Linked DNA regions of Saccharomyces cerevisiae S288C. Changing the gene in region 1 together with any one later gene gives a genetic interaction. Each region holds a gene or a part of one and is shown in the gene's direction. Other genes may lie near its edges.

What was found.
Region 2: mutations in URM1 (region 1) and ELP6 together harm fitness more than expected from each alone (negative genetic interaction), as found in Saccharomyces cerevisiae (3 studies listed by BioGRID, with this or other methods).
Region 3: mutations in URM1 (region 1) and TEF2 together harm fitness more than expected from each alone (negative genetic interaction), as found in Saccharomyces cerevisiae (4 studies listed by BioGRID, with this or other methods).
Region 4: mutations in URM1 (region 1) and PAC10 impair growth when combined (synthetic growth defect), as found in Saccharomyces cerevisiae (4 studies listed by BioGRID, with this or other methods).

Annotation. Positions count from the first base shown.
Region 1 is NC_001141.2:340,673-343,368, forward strand, and holds URM1 (ubiquitin-related modifier URM1), read left to right. Parts: upstream 1-1,863; coding exon 1,864-2,163; downstream 2,164-2,696. Other genes in the region: long-chain fatty acid-CoA ligase FAA3, read left to right, coding at 1-756; NAS2 (Nas2p), read right to left, coding at 2,322-2,696.
Region 2 is NC_001145.3:896,597-899,762, forward strand, and holds ELP6 (Elongator subunit ELP6), read left to right. Parts: upstream 1-1,808; coding exon 1,809-2,630; downstream 2,631-3,166. Other genes in the region: UPA2 (putative methyltransferase), read right to left, coding at 1-73; PP1-complex regulatory subunit GLC8, read right to left, coding at 318-1,007; TGL3 (bifunctional triglyceride lipase/lysophosphatidylethanolamine acyltransferase), read right to left, coding at 2,783-3,166. UniProt on the Saccharomyces cerevisiae protein: Component of the elongator complex which is required for multiple tRNA modifications, including mcm5U (5-methoxycarbonylmethyl uridine), mcm5s2U (5-methoxycarbonylmethyl-2-thiouridine), and ncm5U (5-carbamoylmethyl uridine).
Region 3 is NC_001134.8:476,126-479,559, forward strand, and holds TEF2 (translation elongation factor EF-1 alpha), read left to right. Parts: upstream 1-1,545; coding exon 1,546-2,922; downstream 2,923-3,434. Other genes in the region: transketolase TKL2, read right to left, coding at 1-312; MUD1 (Mud1p), read left to right, coding at 3,213-3,220, 3,310-3,434. UniProt on the Saccharomyces cerevisiae protein: GTP-binding component of the eukaryotic elongation factor 1 complex (eEF1). In its active GTP-bound form, binds to and delivers aminoacyl-tRNA to the A-site of ribosomes during protein biosynthesis.
Region 4 is NC_001139.9:639,236-642,001, reverse strand, and holds PAC10 (tubulin-binding prefolding complex subunit PAC10), read left to right. Parts: upstream 1-1,630; coding exon 1,631-2,230; downstream 2,231-2,766. Other genes in the region: YGR079W (uncharacterized protein), read right to left, coding at 170-1,282; PEX8 (Pex8p), read left to right, coding at 2,489-2,766. UniProt on the Saccharomyces cerevisiae protein: Binds specifically to cytosolic chaperonin (c-CPN) and transfers target proteins to it. Binds to nascent polypeptide chain and promotes folding in an environment in which there are many competing pathways for nonnative proteins.

The DNA of each region.
Region 1 (2,696 bases):
GTCCTGTGTCCTATGATTATCGGTTACGGCCTTACTGAAACAGTTGCGAATGCTTGTGTTTTGGAGCCTGATCATTTCGAATATGGTATAGTTGGTGATCTTGTTGGATCGGTCACTGCCAAATTGGTGGATGTTAAGGACCTAGGTTATTATGCAAAAAACAATCAAGGTGAATTGCTTCTAAAGGGTGCGCCGGTCTGTTCTGAATATTATAAGAATCCAATAGAAACGGCGGTCTCTTTCACTTACGATGGATGGTTTCGTACTGGTGATATTGTTGAATGGACTCCCAAGGGACAACTTAAAATTATTGATAGAAGAAAGAATTTGGTTAAAACCCTAAATGGTGAATATATTGCATTAGAAAAGTTAGAATCTGTTTACAGGTCAAACTCCTATGTGAAAAATATCTGTGTTTATGCCGATGAAAGTAGGGTTAAACCGGTGGGTATTGTGGTACCCAACCCAGGACCCCTATCTAAATTTGCTGTCAAATTGCGTATTATGAAAAAGGGTGAAGACATCGAAAACTATATCCATGACAAAGCATTACGAAATGCTGTTTTCAAAGAGATGATCGCAACAGCCAAATCTCAAGGTTTGGTTGGTATTGAACTATTATGTGGTATTGTTTTCTTTGATGAAGAATGGACACCTGAAAATGGCTTTGTCACATCTGCTCAAAAATTAAAGAGAAGAGAAATCTTAGCCGCTGTTAAATCAGAAGTCGAAAGGGTTTACAAAGAAAATTCTTAGAGAGAAGCTTATTACCTTCCCCTTCCATCTATGCACGGTGTCTCGTACTTCCATAGAGCACCGATTAGTGAATACTAAAACTATGTGCGTGATAAATGGTTCTCTTTTACAGATGCGGTAAATCAATTATTGATATACTACATAACATACAAACATGTTTCATTTCCGTAATACAAATTACAATTGTATAATTAAAAAATATAAAAAACTTCGTGATATGAAATCACATTTTGCTATTGAGTTTGCCACATGAGCGGTATACGAACTATTCGTTATTTTATGACTTTAAAAGCCATACCGAAAGTAGGCTTGAGAAGTATGACTACTGTAGGAGTGACCACTACTGTTAAATGCAGATAGCCGTCTTATGCTCTTCCCTTGTTCTTCTGAATTGGGAATGCATAGCTTGAAACATCAATCTTAATAAGGTCTTGTTTGTTTCTGCTTGGCTTTCATAGTAGCAAATAGTTTCGACCTTAATGTAAGAAATAAAAGCAATCGTTAATTTGAGTAAAGATAACCACTCTTCCTCTTCTACTATCAATATAATAAGAATAACGCTTATGGTTTATTTTAGCTTTTTTGAAAGCTAAACATTAAAAAAGAATAAAAATGCACGGCATACCTACATATTTTAAAAACATATATTTTATGATTGACTTTAGCAAAAGTTGGCGCTGGGTACTTTGAGACTCTTTCCTACAAAACGTTACCAACACTTGCTAGTCTAATCTAATCTACTTAATCAAGGTTTTAGTGGCGTACCATGTGACGGCCATCAAATGCCATCAGTTCTACAAGTTCACATATATTTATATATAACTATTCTCCTAACTTGTATAATATTATACCGAGACAGAGGATAGATTCAATTGATTTCACATACCGGATTATGTTCCTTCCCAAGTTCTCAATCTTATTTAGACTTTTTTTTTTAATTACATTGTCGCCCACTTCGGCAGAAAAAATATAACGACAAAGTAATGGCATCGCATCGACCTAATGAAATACTACTGGCAGACGGTATGGAGAGCTCAAAAATTCCCAAAGCAGAAAACAATACTGATTTCTGATACTAAAACGAGATAGGTTAATAGCAAAATCGGGATGGTAAACGTGAAAGTGGAGTTTCTAGGTGGACTTGATGCTATTTTTGGAAAACAAAGAGTACATAAAATTAAGATGGACAAAGAAGATCCTGTCACAGTGGGCGATTTGATTGACCACATTGTATCTACTATGATCAATAACCCTAATGACGTTAGTATCTTCATCGAAGATGATTCTATAAGACCCGGTATCATCACATTAATCAACGACACCGATTGGGAGCTCGAAGGCGAAAAAGACTACATATTGGAAGACGGTGACATCATCTCTTTTACTTCAACATTACATGGTGGTTAAAAATAGCAGCAAATAATTTTTAAGAAGCAGCTACATATATATATATAAAGTGCTGTACAGCTTGAATGAATCACAAGTTAGATAACGTAGGTAATATGCAGATAGTATAAAAAGTAATAGTAATAACTGGATTGGTTTTTTTTAGTACATGACGAAGATTATAGCTCTTGTATCCTACAACCCAAAAGACCTCTACCATTCCAGTTTCTCGAAGGTGTTAGCGATGTCTTTAGGATTTGCCCTTCTCTCAAGAGAAGGACGGGAAGTGGCCTGTCTTCATTTTTCATTACAACCATCTGAATGTTTTGAAGTTTAGAGTGGTTTGCCGCATGCACATTACCAATAGAAATCAGCTTATCATCAACCTTTATGTCTGCTTTATCTGAAGGGCTACCGGGTACTACCTCACTGATAAATGCAAAAGGGATGGTATACTGAATAGCTTGATCGTCGTTATTCCTTCTTGCATCTTGGTTTGACTTAACGTTCATATTATCAAAGTGCTGGTTTAGTAAGACGTGTGATCTTTGCAA
Region 2 (3,166 bases), on another chromosome or scaffold:
GGATACAGAGTGAATAATGTCTGGTTTGTGATAGAGGTTTCTCAACCTTTTTGAACTTCCTCGTGCTGCTCATCAAACTAAGTGATACACAGCTTTGTGGTCAGTAGTATATATTCCTGGGACCGGTAGTAGTTGTGAAACAGAGTACTCTCACTTGCCGATCACAGCTCATCGATGGGAAATTTTTCATGTATAAAATAAAGCTTGTTAAAAAATCAGTTCGTTTCGCGTGATAACAAACAGTGCATATTTATGTACCAAGAATCCAAAAAATAAGATATATTTAGTATAGGTAAACGTTATGGAGGTGTCATGTTTCATGGTTCTTTTGTCGTACTATCATCTTCGTCTTCGTCTTCGTCCTTTAGCGCTTCACGGGACTTTTTGTTGAAAATTGCCCTTACGTCGTAATGCTTCTTTCTCATTTCTTCAAATTTCTTATGTCTAGCCTCCGGTGAGTCTTCATCATTCTCGTCGTTGGTCTCAAAATCCGGTTGTTTGTTCTCTTTGATTTCAAATTCCGGTTCGCCCAGGGACAAATCGTCGATGTCATCGTTTGCCACCTGGCATGGTTTTTTATCACTATTATCCTCATCTTCATCATCATCTACTCTGTAGTATTCCCCGTGAGGGTCCACAGCACCTTGGTAGGGGGTCTTGGGCTCGTCTATGTGAATATCTTGGAACTGCTTTTTTGTTATTTCATTTTCTGCTAAATTTCTTTGGTTCCATTGAACTCGCTCTTCTGGTGTCATCTTGGCCAACATGTCTTGCTCATGTTTCAGTGACAGTGTGTCCTTTGGAAGGAAGGTACTCGATGTTCCAATTATCTCCCCCTCCTCTTTTGTATTATCTAGTCCCGGTATATTCCTTTTATGTGATGTCAATTTGGCATTTTTCTGCGTATTTTCGTAAACTTGTCTTCTAAACTCTTCAAGCGTTTCTGGATCCTGTTGCGCCAGCTGCTCCGGCGATAAGGCTAGCGGGTTTTTAAGTATACCTCCCATTATTCTGCTGATGTGCGTTCTTGATGATACGAACTCGTTGTACTGATGAAGCTCTTGGACTTTAAGTTGTAGTGGTGTTCTCAAATTATCCTTTCGGTGGAAGTCATTTCTCCCTAAAAAAGCGTGAGGGCAAAACTTGAAACCGGGTAAGAATATGCGATAGTACCGTTTTGCCTCTAAAGACAGTGCTTCAGAGAAATATTAGCAAGGTGTCGAATCAAGTTATACTAGATAGGAGGATTTCATAATGAATAATGCTTTAAAATGGTTCTCACCTTTATTTTATCATTTTCTTCTTTTCTTCTGCTATTGATTTGGTAGTGTTCGGGTTAATTCATTTTTTTGTTCAATAACAAGAACCAAACATAAAAAAAAATACTTTAAGAATAAACAAGACTGATGAAGCATAGATCATATTATTAGAGCGCGTAAGGTATGTAGAGCACAGATTGGTCCTTCGAGTGTGATTATATAATTTTATATACGCTCCTTAATTTAAAAGCGGCTTAGATAGATTTTTTATACTTTGCTGTTGGAAAATTCCTGCTGAAGCAAAAGAATTTGCAATTCGTTCTTAGCCTTTAACCCCAATTTTAAGGCTGAAGCCGTGGCTTATATCATGGGCTTTGTTTATCCAACTTTTCACATCTATAGTACGCTATCTTTGCATCTCTTAGGCATGAATTGATAGGCGATGAGCAGAATGAAAAATGAAAAAAAAATAAAAGTACTAAATTGAGGCTAGTAGAAGTTAGGCAAAAACCGTCCAGAACCTCCACAAAAATAACTAAATACACATTTATGGGTAGTGTTCAACGACAAGATTTGGTCCTATTCAGCGACCAATCAGTGCTTCCTGCCCACTTTTTCCAAGACAGCAACTCTCATAACTTATTCTTCATCACCCATCAATCCTGTACTCAACCACTATGGATGATAAACGCACTAGTAGAAACGCACGTGTTAGGTTCCCCAAGTTCCCTTAATGAATCTTCTTCATCGATGCTACCTTCGTCAACTCGCTCCCATGCAGTCCTTGCGTCGTTTATCCACGAACAGAACTATTTTACAAATTCATTAAACAAGCTAAAGATCCCATCTAATAACTACAATGTTTTAGACTTCCTGTCCGACTTCATCGTTAATAATATCCATAATAAGCCAAGAGACAAAATACTAAGTGACGTACTCGCAAAGTTCTCCGCTGCTATACAAAATAACCCAACTGACACCATTGTTATCATCGAACAACCAGAATTACTGTTGTCGCTAGTAAGCGGCCTAACTTGTTCAGAATTAAACAATAAGTTCATCACACCTCTTTTGAGGCAATGCAAAGTGCTAATCATTGTTTCCAATTCGGACATATTTAATATAGATGAATACGATGCTTCTGTTCATTCCTCGAATCTGCAAAATTTCTACAAATCTTCCTTTATCAAATCAATGATTAATTTGAACTTGAATCCTCTGAAGACCGGTTTTGCAAAGGACGTAACCGGCTCATTGCACGTTTGCAGGGGCGGCGCACCCATTGCAACTTCAAACACAAGCCTACACGTCGTTGAAAATGAATACCTATATCTGAATGAGAAGGAGTCAACAAAACTATTTTATCGCTAAATAATGATAAGATTATATACGAGGCACATTGATTCTCGTATTATTGTTTTTTCTATGAACTGAATATATTTTTAAGTACAATATCAATGAAAAATATATGCAATCGAGCTCTATCAATAAAAAAAATAAGACAGAAAAAAGTGGAAACGATACTACCTACTCCGTCTTGCTCTTATTATGTCGTCTAATTTAAATTCGACTGCACATCTTGTCTTAATTAAAGCTAGTGCGGGCCATGTACTTCGTTCACCAGATTTTATCCAGTATGGAATGTTGTTTAGTTGACCTTCAATAATCCTTGTTAATGATAGACTTTTCATCCTTGGTACCACAGCAATCTCCGTAGCTGATCTGGGAGTCTTTTCATCAATTATTAGTCTTTTTATTAATGAGCACAACAGGCCTAAATTATCCAATACCTCCATCCTATGTCGAAATTCCATAGTGGCAATATTTTTTAATTTTCTTTCCAGATGATACTTAAATTTAAACGCCAGCGGTTCCATTTCAGTAAAGTTCAACTGCGGTATGCCCAA
Region 3 (3,434 bases), on another chromosome or scaffold:
TGGATGACCCGGTGTCCTTGAGTTTACTTGTCTAAATTGTCTCAAGTCCTCGATAGAGTAATCGTATCCTAATAGATGGAGCATTGAGTACAGAAGAGCGCATGAGTGACCGTTCGACAGAACAAACCTGTCTCTATTGATCCAATGTTCATTGTTAGGGTTACAGCGCAGTTGCTTGAAAATTACATGGGCAACTGGTGCCAATCCTAGTGGTGCACCTGGGTGGCCAGATTGTGCGCTTTCCACCTGGTCAACGGAAAGTAATCTTAAAGTGGAAACCGCAAGTTTATCAATGTCGGAGAACTGTGCCATTTTTTTGTTCTTTTTTTGATTAGTAAGGTATAATCGTCTACGTAGAGGTTACAAATCGAAGACTACAGTAAGAGGGGACAAGCCAATTGAATATACGACTGAAATAAATGGAATAATTCTGCATTATTACACTCGTTTATATATCCAAACAGGTGATCTGGTATTCTCTTGACAACGAATGAAGCTCCCTATATTCGACACTCCTTATTCAGGACTCCTCCCAACAAGGAGAAGTAGGTGTTCCTTGAGCTACCCTTTAAAGCTGGGGAGATGAGCTTGCCCTTCCTGTCATCGCCATTATGACGAGAAAAGTAAAACATGTAGAATAAGGTCCACCCAAACATGTCCGAGCAATGACGTTATATATCGTGTTCCCTGTTCAAAGCATGGCATATGTGCCATTAAAGGCGAATTTTTGTCCCTAGCAAAGGAGAGACAGCGAGCCACCATTAAGAAGTGACTTGAAAGCAAGCGAAAATAGCTACACATATATATCAATATATTGACCTATAAACCCAAAATGTGAAAGAAATTTGATAGGTCAAGATCAATGTAAACAATTACTTTGTTATGTAGAGTTTTTTTAGCTACCTATATTCCACCATAACATCAATCATGCGGTTGCTGGTGTATTTACCAATAATGTTTAATGTATATATATATATATATATATGGGGCCGTATACTTACATATAGTAGATGTCAAGCGTAGGCGCTTCCCCTGCCGGCTGTGAGGGCGCCATAACCAAGGTATCTATAGACCGCCAATCAGCAAACTACCTCCGTACATTCATGTTGCACCCACACATTTATACACCCAGACCGCGACAAATTACCCATAAGGTTGTTTGTGACGGCGTCGTACAAGAGAACGTGGGAACTTTTTAGGCTCACCAAAAAAGAAAGAAAAAATACGAGTTGCTGACAGAAGCCTCAAGAAAAAAAAAATTCTTCTTCGACTATGCTGGAGGCAGAGATGATCGAGCCGGTAGTTAACTATATATAGCTAAATTGGTTCCATCACCTTCTTTTCTGGTGTCGCTCCTTCTAGTGCTATTTCTGGCTTTTCCTATTTTTTTTTTTCCATTTTTCTTTCTCTCTTTCTAATATATAAATTCTCTTGCATTTTCTATTTTTCTCTCTATCTATTCTACTTGTTTATTCCCTTCAAGGTTTTTTTTTAAGGAGTACTTGTTTTTAGAATATACGGTCAACGAACTATAATTAACTAAACATGGGTAAAGAGAAGTCTCACATTAACGTTGTCGTTATCGGTCATGTCGATTCTGGTAAGTCTACCACTACCGGTCATTTGATTTACAAGTGTGGTGGTATTGACAAGAGAACCATCGAAAAGTTCGAAAAGGAAGCCGCTGAATTAGGTAAGGGTTCTTTCAAGTACGCTTGGGTTTTGGACAAGTTAAAGGCTGAAAGAGAAAGAGGTATCACTATCGATATTGCTTTGTGGAAGTTCGAAACTCCAAAGTACCAAGTTACCGTTATTGATGCTCCAGGTCACAGAGATTTCATCAAGAACATGATTACTGGTACTTCTCAAGCTGACTGTGCTATCTTGATTATTGCTGGTGGTGTCGGTGAATTCGAAGCCGGTATCTCTAAGGATGGTCAAACCAGAGAACACGCTTTGTTGGCTTTCACCTTGGGTGTTAGACAATTGATTGTTGCTGTCAACAAGATGGACTCCGTCAAATGGGACGAATCCAGATTCCAAGAAATTGTCAAGGAAACCTCCAACTTTATCAAGAAGGTTGGTTACAACCCAAAGACTGTTCCATTCGTCCCAATCTCTGGTTGGAACGGTGACAACATGATTGAAGCTACCACCAACGCTCCATGGTACAAGGGTTGGGAAAAGGAAACCAAGGCCGGTGTCGTCAAGGGTAAGACTTTGTTGGAAGCCATTGACGCCATTGAACAACCATCTAGACCAACTGACAAGCCATTGAGATTGCCATTGCAAGATGTTTACAAGATCGGTGGTATTGGTACTGTGCCAGTCGGTAGAGTTGAAACCGGTGTCATCAAGCCAGGTATGGTTGTTACTTTCGCCCCAGCTGGTGTTACCACTGAAGTCAAGTCCGTTGAAATGCATCACGAACAATTGGAACAAGGTGTTCCAGGTGACAACGTTGGTTTCAACGTCAAGAACGTTTCCGTTAAGGAAATCAGAAGAGGTAACGTCTGTGGTGACGCTAAGAACGATCCACCAAAGGGTTGCGCTTCTTTCAACGCTACCGTCATTGTTTTGAACCATCCAGGTCAAATCTCTGCTGGTTACTCTCCAGTTTTGGATTGTCACACTGCTCACATTGCTTGTAGATTCGACGAATTGTTGGAAAAGAACGACAGAAGATCTGGTAAGAAGTTGGAAGACCATCCAAAGTTCTTGAAGTCCGGTGACGCTGCTTTGGTCAAGTTCGTTCCATCTAAGCCAATGTGTGTTGAAGCTTTCAGTGAATACCCACCATTAGGTAGATTCGCTGTCAGAGACATGAGACAAACTGTCGCTGTCGGTGTTATCAAGTCTGTTGACAAGACTGAAAAGGCCGCTAAGGTTACCAAGGCTGCTCAAAAGGCTGCTAAGAAATAAGAGTAATAATTATTGCTTCCATATAATATTTTTATATACCTCTTATTTTTATGTATTAGTTAATTAAGTATTTTTATCTATCTGCTTATCATTTTCTTTTCATATAGGGGGGGTTGGTGTTTTCTTGCCCATCAGATTGATGTCCTCCAACTCGGCACTATTTTACAAAGGGTTTTTTTGTAAGAGAAGGAGAAGACAGATACTAAACCATACGTTACTCGAAACAAAAAAAAAAAAAATGGAAAAAGCTGCTATCAACAAAAGACGGCCTCATCAAACCTAAAGAAACCATGTCAGCGTATGTATATACCTTGTAATTTACGTTTCCTTAAATCTTCTTTCTACTAACGTTTTCATTATTCTATACTCTATGACCAATAAAAACAGACTGTACTTTCAAAATTTACCCAGTAGGCCAGCAAATAAAGAAAATTATACCAGATTACTTCTGAAACACATTAATCCCAACAACAAGTATGCCATTAATCCGTCGCTACCCCTTCCCCACAATA
Region 4 (2,766 bases), on another chromosome or scaffold:
TTGAGATACAGAGTTCCTTCTTATTCAATTGCCTATCAAATTAGCCAACTTGTCCAAATAGTAAAAGATATAGATCTTATAATGACATATTTTTCAAATCCTACAAAAACAAGTTACCCTAACACTGTATAAAAAGAATCTATTTATTGTACTGTTAATAGTACTGTTATTACAACATGAATTCACCGATACCAAAACCAGCTGATAACGTCTGGCAAACACCACTCTTTCTTCTTATGGCCCTCTTCAACAGCTTATCTCTTTTAGACAAGGGTTTCCACTTTTTAGAAATTGCAGAGGATGAGCGCAGGGAATTCTTCAAAAACTTCCTTTTTTTCAAGGTGAACTTGCCCTCATTGTCTCTGTAGCACAATAACTTGATATTGTAGTCCAAATTATCAAGAAGGGAGGAAGATGGTGATGAAGATGGGGAGGGTTCCATGGCTTCAGCACTGTTGATATCATCTTTGATGAAGTCCTCTATTCCCAATGTGTCGTTCGAACTCGTGGTGGCGTCGCCTGGATGCAGAGCCACGAGGGAGCATTTTCTTTGTCTTGTCTCCTGCAGGCAAATGGCCTCTTCTGCAGTGCCATTTACTTCCTTCCAGAAGTCCGTATTATTTGCGTCACTCTTGCTATTGTCGCCGAAAAAGAATGATTGCTGTATCTGTGGTAGAAAGATACTGCTCTCGCTGCTATCGTGGAAATTATTCTTGTTGTGATTTTCCTCCATGGGTAGTTCATTGTCCGCACTGTAACTAAATGTGCTGTTGGTGAAGGAAGGCTGGTGGCATGGGGAGAAGAGAGGATCAGGCTCAGAACTATAGCCGAGCGTACTTTCGAGGTCGTCATCATCGTCATCATCGTGTAAATCTCCGTTTTGGGTGCCATCGTCCTCGGTGGCGTTCTCAGATAGTGAACCGGCAGTATCTATCGAACGAGCAGTGGTGATGATGATTGGGGTGGCCTCGACTGCACTGGCTGTGGTGTTTTTACCATCTGCTGTCCCGCGAGTGTCCGCTTTCTTTGTGTGCGATCTGGACAAGGGAGTAATATCCTCCTTGGTGATGACCTTATTCGGTACCTGAAATGCCTTGCTGCTTTTATTCATTGCTACGTAAACTATGCTATATGATACAAGTGAACGCTCGTCGAGGGAATAACTGCTGCGTGTGCGTGAACGAGTAAATGAATGAATGAATGAGTTAACACATGAAAACGAAGATAATCGCAAAACGACAATGAACAAATAAACACATCCCTCATTTGCGGCACTGCTCATCTCATCTCATCCTTTATATTAGGAGGCAACGAGCTTTCTCGCTCACCAAAAAGAAACGTGCGAAAAAAACCGAAAAATAAAAAAAAAAAAAAAAAAAAAAAAGAAACGCGCTGCAGGAACGTGACTTCCAAAAAAGGAAGGTGCCGTTCCAATATGGAAACCGCAGGCACTCATGATTGTGCAGGACGGGTAACACATGATTTGTTTCGTTTCTTCGATCATTTTGCAGAACTGGTCAGAAAAGAAAGTGAAAAAATCTAGTTTAACACTATTGTAGAGGCTATAAATTGTAGACAACATTTACTGCAGAAAACTGTACGCACATATATAACAGATACTACGGTTATTATGGACACACTGTTCAACTCCACGGAAAAGAATGCCAGAGGCATACCGCAGGCTCCATTCATCGAAAATGTCAACGAAATAATTAAGGACCCAAGCGACTTCGAATTGTGCTTCAATAAGTTCCAAGAACGGCTTTCTAAGTACAAATTTATGCAGGAATCTAAATTGGCTACGATAAAGCAGCTGAAGACTAGAATCCCGGACTTGGAAAACACATTAAAAATATGCCAAAGTCTGCGCAATCACAGCGACGAGGGCGATGAGAGCGATGAACCTATCCTGTTGCACTACCAATTGAACGACACGCTCTACACAAAGGCTCAGGTTGATATACCGGAAGATCGGGCGGATTTGAAAGTTGGGTTGTGGCTTGGCGCAGACGTGATGCTGGAATATCCCATCGACGAGGCCATAGAGTTGTTAAAGAAGAAACTCGCGGATTCCGAACAGTCTTTAACGGTGTCCACCGAGGACGTAGAGTTTTTGAGGGAAAATATCACGACAATGGAGGTCAATTGCGCGCGATTGTATAACTGGGACGTTCAGAGAAGGCAAGACTTGAAGCAGGCTCAAGAAGGGACTAAAAACCTCAAGATATAATGTGTCTGTAAATTTAAATCCAAAGAAAAATAAAGGGCACTACATAGAACAACACAATCAACCTACATAGCTCTCTTTTTTTTTTTTTTTTTTTTTTTCTTTTTTGTTTTTTCTCAATTTTCTTCATTTTTTGCATTGTTACTACTCTCCCATTAAGGGAAATTCTACCAGGAAAACCGAAGAAGACAAATGCAAAAGGGAAATATGAATACGCATGTATGCGCGCAAAACCGCACTTACAGAGGGCATTAGGACATTATGTTTGATCATGACGTCGAATATCTGATCACTGCACTCTCTTCCGAAACGAGGATCCAGTATGATCAACGCCTGCTAGACGAAATCGCGGCCAATGTGGTATACTACGTCCCAAGAGTCAAATCCCCCGACACTTTGTATCGCTTGGTCGGAGCACTTTTCCGATCGCAGTTCATTGTCCAATTACCACCACTACGCCTTTTGCACATCGTCAAAGATGTTTTCCTTTGGAAACTGGAAGTTTCTGAGCCCACGCTCCCAATTTCGAAGTTTTACTT